3 linked regions of the Oryctolagus cuniculus genome follow. The protein of the gene in region 3 binds, or shares a complex with, the protein of the main gene of each other region. Links are inferred from orthologs where the notes say so. Each region holds a gene or a part of one and is shown on either strand. Other genes may lie near its edges.

What was found.
Region 1: the proteins of AURKA (region 3) and TPX2 are in contact, whole or in part, in a crystal structure (PDB 3HA6), measured with the Homo sapiens proteins. The link is inferred for Oryctolagus cuniculus from reciprocal best matches to the Homo sapiens genes AURKA and TPX2. Residues at the interface, in NP_001310232.1 of Homo sapiens: Lys125, Arg126, Gln127, Trp128, Asp132, Glu152, Gln154, Ser155, Phe157, Leu159, Lys166, Glu170, Gly173, Glu175, Leu178, Arg179, Val182, Glu183, Ile184, Ser186, His187, Leu188, Arg189, Tyr197, Gly198, Tyr199, His201, Val206, Tyr246, Ser249; in NP_036244.2 of Homo sapiens: Gln3, Lys5, Ser6, Ser7, Tyr8, Ser9, Tyr10, Asp11, Ala12, Pro13, Ser14, Asp15, Phe16, Ile17, Phe19, Ser20, Ile31, Asp32, Trp34, Phe35, Glu36, Lys38, Ala39.
Region 2: the proteins of AURKA (region 3) and TACC3 are in contact, whole or in part, in a crystal structure (PDB 5ODT), measured with the Homo sapiens proteins. The link is inferred for Oryctolagus cuniculus from reciprocal best matches to the Homo sapiens genes AURKA and TACC3. Residues at the interface, in NP_001310232.1 of Homo sapiens: Leu130, Phe133, Glu134, Ile135, Gly136, Arg137, Tyr148, Leu149, Ala150, Arg151, Ile158, Val163, Arg205, Tyr207; in NP_001428248.1 of Homo sapiens: Glu523, Ser524, Phe525, Arg526, Pro528, Val531, Leu532, Gly533.

What each region holds. Positions count from the first base shown.
Region 1 is NC_091442.1:25,931,777-25,934,440, reverse strand, and holds the end of TPX2 (targeting protein for Xklp2), read left to right. Parts: intron 1-1,328; coding exon 1,329-1,439; 3' UTR 1,440-2,155; downstream 2,156-2,664. UniProt on the Homo sapiens protein: Spindle assembly factor required for normal assembly of mitotic spindles. Required for normal assembly of microtubules during apoptosis. Required for chromatin and/or kinetochore dependent microtubule nucleation.
Region 2 is NC_091433.1:622,272-625,790, reverse strand, and holds part of TACC3 (transforming acidic coiled-coil-containing protein 3), read right to left. Parts: intron 3,180-3,519; coding exon 3,127-3,179; intron 2,513-3,126; coding exon 2,403-2,512; intron 2,301-2,402; coding exon 2,186-2,300; intron 2,101-2,185; coding exon 1,996-2,100; intron 1,595-1,995; coding exon 1,518-1,594; intron 1,410-1,517; coding exon 1,366-1,409; intron 1,086-1,365; coding exon 925-1,085; intron 36-924; coding exon 1-35. UniProt on the Homo sapiens protein: Plays a role in the microtubule-dependent coupling of the nucleus and the centrosome. Involved in the processes that regulate centrosome-mediated interkinetic nuclear migration (INM) of neural progenitors.
Region 3 is NC_091442.1:5,237,542-5,240,058, forward strand, and holds part of AURKA (aurora kinase A), read left to right. Parts: intron 1-288; coding exon 289-437; intron 438-2,517. UniProt on the Homo sapiens protein: Mitotic serine/threonine kinase that contributes to the regulation of cell cycle progression.

The sequences.
Region 1 (2,664 bases), about 21 Mb from region 3:
ACAACTTACTCAAGAGGCTAGCCTCTTTGCAAAATCCAAACTACCATTTGTTGATTGAAAGAGAAAACAATATAATCCCTACTCCAGATACACTCATAACATCAGACTCAACTTCTTTGATTATTCTGTAATACTTGATACCTGCCTGTTGTGTTTGCTCCTGTTACAAGGCTATTTCTTTTACAATTCCCAGGGCAGGCCCATTGAAACATTCTACAGCACAATTCAGTAAATGCAGTGTCTCTGTTCTAATCTGGCTCGATTCAGGGTTGATTATTAGAGTACCCAAAAGCCTTCTCCAGCAAACTTCTTGCTGGTTCTTGTTGTTTTGTTTTTAAGTTCATGCTGTTGGTGAATAATAATAGTCAAGTTTTTTGTTGTTGTTTTGTTAAAAATTTATTTATTTGAAAGTCAGAGTTACACAGAGAAGGAGAGGGCTAGAGAGAGAGAAATCTTCCATTCGCTGGTTCATCCCCAAATGGCTGCAATGAGTGGAGCTGGGCCGATCTGAAGCCAGGAACCAAGAACTTCTTCCGGGTCTCCCACATGGGTGCAGGGACCCAGGAACTTGGGTCATCTTCTACTGCTTTCCTGGGCCATAGCAGAGAGCTGAATCTGAAGTGGAGCAGCCAGGACTTGAACTGGCGCCCATATGGGATACCAGCACTGCAGGTGGCAGCTTTATCCCTTACGCCACAGCACCAACCCCAGTAGTCAAGTTTAAGATTGTACTGTAACAAATTCTTAATTTGTAAAATTCTGCTACAATTGAGTACAGCCCCTTTTACTCTTTGACACCGGAGATGGGTTTTTTTGTTTTGTTTTTAAGATTTATTCATTTGAAAAGCAGAGTAATAGAGAGAGGGAAAGATAGAGAGATCTTCCATCCTCTGGTTCACTTCCCACATGGCTGCAATGGCTAGGCTGGTCCAGGCAGAAGACAGGAGCCAGGAGCTCACATCCCGTGTGGTTGCAGAGGCCCAAGTACTTGGGCAATCTTCCGCTGCTTTCCCAGGCACATTATCAGGGAGCTGGATTGGAAGTGGAGCAGCCAAGACTCAAACCAGTGGCTTAACTCATGTTGCCACAACACCTTCAGTGAAAGCTGAGGAACCCAGCAAAACCCTGAATAAACAGAAATCTGGGCTCCAAAACCCTGTGTACTTTTCCATTATACTGTGTTGTCTTACCCACTCCCCCTTTCTTTAAGTTAGTGACTGGGATCTGCAAGTCTATGCAAACATTTTCTCAGAAAGAAATAAAAGCAACTATAAGCATTGTTTGCTAATATTCTAGTCAGTGGTAACTTTATTTTCCTTACTCTGCAGGTGCACAAAGCAAATCCAATACGCAAGTATCAGGGTGTGGAAGTAAAGTCAAGTGACCAACCTCTGACTGTGCCTGTATCTCCCAAGTTCTCCACTCGATTCCACTGCTAAACTCAGCTGTGACCTGCAGATACTGCTTGGCAGCTGGAGCTGCTTTTAACGTCAAACCAGGAGCCTTCTTCCTTGTCGCTGGGAGTGGAGAGAACCGATTTCTCCAGTCTTTTCAGCTACTCGTGTCAGACAGAATGTACTTGACAACTATGGGCTCAAGTTTTGTTGAGAGTTGTTTTTTTTTTTTTTGAGGCTAATAATGAGACTCAATTCATGTATGCCTTGATTAGACTCCATGTAGTTATTTCCTTTATACCATCAGTTGACCTTTAATATGTGTCTTAACTCTGGCTAGAATTTCAAGTCTCTGTGATAGCACAGTGCAGTCTTATTCCCATTGCCCCCTTCTGCCTTTCTTATATATATATATATATTATTATTATTTTTAAATCAGAAAATAAAGATAGTTAAATCCTGAGATAGGGTTTAAGTCCTGGTTTCAATGAGGAGCAAATGCTACTTCAGATTCTTTCCTCCTCTCTGCACAAATGAGTTTGTAGTTAAGAAGCCCTGTGCTATAAGGGTGAAAACCTCATTAACTGCATCACTGAGGAAGAAGATGGCGTGAACGCATGGGAACCTCACAGCAACCATTTGGCAAGCTTTGGGCAGAGCTGGTTTTAAGGTATCTTCTTCCCTTATCTGTGCTGAGAATTACAGAGAGCAGTGCAGTGTGCATTTTAAAACCTGGCATGTAATAAATACTTTTCGTCTTCTCCTCTCTCATTTTGTTATTTGATACTTTTCAAATCTGTCAAGCCTCTTTGAAGGACATCTCTCACTGGGGAAATGGGTAGTTTGAGAGGTGGGTCCAGAATCTTTTTTTTGTTTTTTTTAAGATGTATTTATTTGAAAGGCAGAGTGACAGAGAGAGAGAGAGAGGAAGAGACAGATCTCCCATCCGCTGATTCACTTCCCAAATGGCCACAACAGCCAGAGCTGGGCCAGGCTAAAGCCACAAGCCAGGAGCTTCTTCCAGGTTTCCTATGTGGGTGCAGGGTCCCAAGCACTTGGGCCATCTTCTGCTATTTTCCCTAGTGCACTAGCAGAGAGCTGGATGAAAAGTAGAGTAGTCCTGACTCAAAGTGGTACCAGCATGGGATGCCAGCCCTACAGGCCATAGCATAACTTGCTGTACCACAATGCCAGCCACTCCAGAAACTTGAAAGCACAGGCTCAGTCCTTAAAAAAAAAAGTTGTAATTTTTTTTCTTATATTAGAATAT
Region 2 (3,519 bases), on a different chromosome or scaffold from region 3:
TAGTCCTCCACGCACTTCTTCAGCGACTCCTCGTTCTGGGGGGAGCACCCACAGCTGCCCTCTCTCACGCCACCCAGCCACCCCTGCGAGCTGACAAGGGGTGAGGCAAGGCCTGCCTGGTGCCTGGGCACGGTAGAGGGGACGGGCTGCAGGCTGGCAGTTGACACCAGCATGGTGGCCCTGGCGTGGGAGCCGCCTCCCCCCAGGCTCAGCAGGGCCCAGCGCCTGCCACCCGAGCTCCCCTGGCTGCCCCGCCCACTGCACCGACACTGACACGCTCGCCTCTGCACAGGTGCTGCCCCTCGCTGGCTGGGAAGTCGCCACTGTGCGCAGCGGGCGTCCCCGCGGGGGTCCCCTCCCCGCCACCTGCTGCCCGCAGCCATGGGCAGCACCCGGTTCCACGCCCCCTGACCCGAGCTCCTCCCTGCCCCCGGCGTCCAGCCCAGCGCTGCCTCTGCACACAGGACAGTGGCTTCTCAGTGCGCCCGTGGAGCTCCCCAGCACGGGCACGGGCACGGGCACGGGCGAGGCAAGGGAGGCAGCGTCTCCGGGGCAGACGGCCCTGTCGGAGAGGCCCTGTCTCCGGCCCCCGCCAGGACAGCCGATAGCGCGTCACGTGCCGACAGGGCTGGGGGCTGCTGCGGCCCCTGGGGGTGTCTCCTGCCCGGCTCTGTGCTCACGACCCTCCCCGACGCGCTCTGCAGAGCTGCCCCCATGGAGTACCCGCTTTACTTCTGTGGGCGGCTGGGGACCAGCCACTGGCCTGAGGATGGAGACAGGCGGCTCACCCTGACCCCAGGCACCCACGGAGGCCCCCAGGCCAGCGGTCAGCCTCGCTGTCCTTGCAGTCGGCAGAGCCGCCCCCGCGCTGCGGCCCCCCGGGCACGGCTGCCCCAGGCCGGGCCGAGGAGCGGGCAGCCCTACCTTGCGGTAGCCGCCGATCACCTCCTTCTGCTTCTCGAAGCGCTTGAAGAGGTCGGAGAAGGACTTCTCCGTGGAGCTCAGGTCCGCGGCGAGCTGCTCCCTGTCCTTCAGGACCTTCTGCACTTCCGCTCTGGCAGCCTCCTTCTGCCTCTGGACCTCCTCTGCAGAGCGAGCAGCCGGGTCGGGGCGCCGGCATGCCAGGCACCAGGGCGCTGGCAAGCGCGGGCCCGCCAGATGGCCCTCCCACCGCATGGGCCAGGCCGGCACGGGGCCAGCGGACACCCGCCCTCACGCAGTCCCACAGGGGCGAGTGCAGCGGCCCGAGCCCGGCCACCACAGGGGCTGCTGGACGCACTCAGCCGGTGGGGACAGGACGGGGCCCAGCACAGCTCTGCCCAGAGCCCCGTGGCCGTGGGCGGACGAGGCACGCGGGGCACTTACCCATCGCCTGGTACACGATCCCCTCAAACCCGTCCATGATCTTCCTGCGGGGGAGGGCGGTCAGTGCTGCGCCGCGGCGGCCCCGGGCCCCGTCAGCCCCGCCGGCCCCACGAGCCCCGGGCCCCGCCAGCCCCGCCGGCCCGCGGCCTTACCCCATCTCCAGGTTCTTGGTGTGGAGCTCCTCACACCGGCTCCTCAGCTCCAGGTTCTCCTGCTGTGCCGCCTGCACCTGGGAATCACACACACGCGGGAGCTGCACGCCCCGCCCCTCCCCACAGCAACGTCAGGAGTCACGGGCTCCACGGGGCTTCAGGGGACCCCGGGGGCCCTGGCCAGGCCGAGGCCACCTGCCTCACATGCCTCACACGCTGGATCGTGACACCCGCCACGGCACAGCCCAGCAGAGGCCCCGCAGCGCCCATCCTCCCGGTGTGCCCGTCAGCCCCACGTGACTCTAGCCGGGCACACCAGGTGCCAACGGCCGAGGCCCTGCGTGTCTGAGGGCAGAGGCTGGGGTCCTAACCCAGAGGATGGTGCAGATGGACTTACACCAGGCCCCACTGCCACCTGCTCAGGTGTGCCCCGCGGCTGCGCCCGCCCCGCCAAGCCCCAGGGCGGCCTGCCCCTTACTGCGGCGTCCAGGTCTCGCTGGCTGTACCGCAGCACGTCCACGATGGGCCCCACGGGCAGGGGTGGACAGCTGGGCTCCAGGATACACAGGGGTTGGGCCGGCACCTGCAGGGATGAGAGACGCGTCACAAGGCTCTCAGCCTCGCCTCCTCCCACCCAGCACCAGCGAGCAGCCCCCACCGTCAGCGACCTGCGGCTCCAGGGGGCCCGACGCGCTCACAGGGACAGGCAGGGCTCCCCCGAGGTCCAGGTCCACGAGCAGCGTGTCCAGGGGGCCCCCCGAGGGCTCAGCGGCGACCTGCGTGCTGGGGGCCGAGGAGCGAGGCGGCTGGGTCAGCCCACACGCGTCTGCTCGCACGGGGCCCCCCGTGCTGCTGCCCGCCCGCCCCTGTCCACCCTGCCCGCACCTGTCCGCCTCAGCGGCCGTGGCCAGCGGCACGAGTCGCACAGGACTGTCTCTCAGGAGAGGATCGAACTTCAGGTACAGGGACTGCTTCCTCAGGGCCGACTCCTTGAACTGGGGGAGGCGGGGCACTCAGCGGGTTCCACGCGGCCCGGGGACGCCCCAGCGCGCCCTCCGCCCTGGCCACACCGGACAGCCCCGGCAGCACAGGGAGGGCTGGAGCACGGGCGTGGCCAGGGTGCTGCGGGACACACACGGGGGGGGGGGGGGGGGGCGTGGCCAGGGTGCCGCGGGACACACACGGGGGGGCGTGGCCAGGGTACCGCGGGACACACACGGGGGGGCGTGGCCAGGGTGCCGCGGGACACACACGGGGGGGCGTGGCCAGGGTGCCGCGGGACACACACTGGGGGGGGCGTGGCCAGGGTGCCGCGGGACACACACGGGGGGGCGTGGCCAGGGTGCCGCGGGACACACACGGGGGGGCGTGGCCAGGGTGCCGCGGGACACACACGGGGGGGCGTGGCCAGGGTGCCGCGGGACACACACTGGGGGGGCGTGGCCAGGGTGCCGCGGGACACACACTGGGGGGGGCGTGGCCAGGGTGCCGCGGGACACACACGGGGGGCGTGGCCAGGGTGCCGCGGGACACACACGGGGGGGGCGTGGCCAGGGTGTCGCGGGACACACACTGGGGGGGCGTGGCCAGGGTGCCGCGGGACACTCACCGAGGAGGTCCCGAACTGCTCCAGGTAATCGATCTCGGCCCCCGTGCCTAGGACTGAGGGGCAGAGGTCAGGGGGCCCGGCTGGGCCCTGGGAGCCAACCCTCCTCCCGCCCTCCGCCCAGCCCGGCACCAGAGCTTTGGCCCACGGCTCAGGCCTCTGCCACTTGGGAGCCGACTGCTCTCACGGGGCGGGGGCACCGAGCGCGGCACCCGAGGCACTGCTGGGGTGAGCGCCCGTCTACAGCTGTTCCAGAACAAACACCTGTCACGTCATCCGAGGCTGGAAAACCTCGAGGGGCCTAAACCCTTCACAAAATCAACTTATCGGGGCCGGCGCTCTGATGTAGCAGATAAAGCCCCAGCCTGCAGGGCCGGCATCCCACATGGGCGCCGG
Region 3 (2,517 bases):
GGCCATAACTGGCCATGTGAGGGGACAGGCAAGCTCGTCGTCACCGTCTGCACAGCACATCAGCTGCTTAGCGAGGCGGTAACTGGGCACTGGGTAACTCCCTCCCGATGCTAGGTGCCGTCAGTCAGGTCTCTCGACTCGGAGGCTCGTGCGTGGTTCTGCAGTGTTTGCCTCAGGAATCCTGCAGGAATGCTCGTTTCCGTGGGTGCTCCCTTCAGAAGAGATGTCTGTCGAACATTAGCTTTGTTATAGAACCTGAAACAGGCTTCCCATGCTCTTTTCAAACAGTATATCACCGAGCTGGCAAACGCCCTGTTGTACTGTCATTCAAAGAGAGTCATTCATAGAGATATTAAGCCCGAGAACCTGCTTCTTGGATCAGCTGGGGAGCTGAAGATTGCAGACTTCGGGTGGTCGGTACACGCTCCATCCTCCAGGTAGGTGACTTCAGAGATGGAGGTGGTTTGCTTAAGCAGAAACCCCGGGGCCTAACCATGAGCAAAATATAAGTTACATGTAGATTTTGCAAGGGTGGGGCAGAGTAATTTCGACCTGATAATAAACTAGTGGCTTCAAGAAAATTTTGTTCTTTAGCTGTTTGGGGCTACTTAGGGTGTTCTGGGCCTAGGATTAAAGATGCTTAATGTCTTTAGAGACTAATGAAGGGGGTGAATAAGCCAAAGATGACAAGTGTGTGACAGAGGGGGAGGAGCCCTTAAGCTAACAGGGACGCTGGGAGTGGGAGTGGGAGTGGAGGAGGCGGCTCTGTTTCCTGAAGCTGTTTTAGAAAGCAACAAATCTGTCTTGGTCCAACAACATTTCCTCTGGGGAACTTTGAAAATGGTTGGTTTTGAGGGCGCATCAAGGCAGCTGTTACTTAGATTCCCTTTGGTCTGTTTGTCAACAGGAGGGGGAGCCTTTCTGTCCCTAGAGCTGAAGCATGGGGCCAGAGCTGTGGCATAGCAGGTTAAGCCCCTGCAGTGCCGGCATTCCAAATAGGCGCCGGTTTGAGTCCTGGCTGGTCCACTTGCCATCCAGCTCTCTGCTGTGGCCTGGGAAAGCATCAGAAGATGGCCCAAGTGCTTGGGCCCTTGCACCCACGTGGGAGACCTGGAAGAAGCACCTGGGTTTGGATCGCTGCAGCTCTGGCTGTTGCAGTCATCTGGGGAGTGAACCAGTGGATGGAAAGATCTCTCTCTACCTCTGCTTTTCTCTGCCTTTCAAATAATTAAAATCTTTAATAAATAATAAAAAAGGGACTTGATTAACAATTTAAGTCTTGGGTGAATTTTCCAAATGAAAGTTAAAATAAATAGTGCAGCCTGAGGGGCTGCGGGGATACCCTCCTGTTACAGACCATTCCTGCTGTTTCCAACAGTCTATCCCACCTGCTGTTGGAGTCTTGTCTTTTTGGACTGATAGTTCTGAGTGGGGGCTCTTGTCATCAGTGAGACAAATAACAAAGAACCGTAGGTTTCACGAGGTCGAAGGGTTGAGTCTTTACCTTACCCTGCCCAGTGGTGTCATCAGCAACGGAAAGATAGCACCTTGTTTTGAAGAAGTCCTTTATATAAATGTTGCTGGTCACTTCCCCCTGCATCCCAGATGGTAATGACCGCCAGTTTCTTTGTTACTGTGGACAGGTGCTCTGTAACCCCTGACTTAGTCCATCTCATCTCAGTGCTGAGGAGGGCTCTGGCGTCTGCAGAGGTGGCTGCTAAGTCGCAGGTCACAGTTCACTTGAGTGAACAGTCCTGTGCTCACTGCACCAGGCATGGCTGAACACAGTTCTGCGTGACCTGCAGAACACTCCTGGCTGGGTGTCTGCCACCCCCCAGCTTATTTCCAGCCTCGTTAGAAAAACTTTAGAAATGCAGTTAGTAGTCACTGGTAGACCTGTGTGTCCACCACCTGCATTCCAAGTTTTCATTTTGTCATACTGACTGCAGCTGGGTTTGGTGAACTTTTTATTTTAATTTATTTTTAAAAATTTATTTCAAAGGCAGAGTGACCCGGAGAAGCAGAGAGTGAGATATCTTTGATCTGCTGGTTCACTCCCCAGATGGCTGCAACAGCAGCAGCTGGGCCAGGCTGGAGCCAGGAGCCAAGAACTTGATCTGAGTCTCCCACACAGCAGGGGCTCAAACACCTGACCCATCTTCCTCTGCTTTCCCAGGTGCATTAGTAGGGAGCTAGATGAGATGGTGCTCACGGGATGCCAGTGATGCAGGATGTAGCTTAACCCGCTGTACCACAATGCTGGCTGGCCCCTTTGGTGAATTTTTGAAAATAAGTTGCAGATGTTTAATCATTGAGCACTGGAGTATACATCTACAAATCGGGACATTCTCCTCTGTAATCACAACCAGTCAGTCGTAAGGAAATTAACATTAAGATCTAATATTCTAAATGTTGAATTATCTCCAGAAGTCTAAGAAAATTTTTTTTAAAGATTTGAGTCAGAATTACCCACAGAGAGAGGTCTTCCATCCGCTGATTCACTCCCCAGTTGACCAT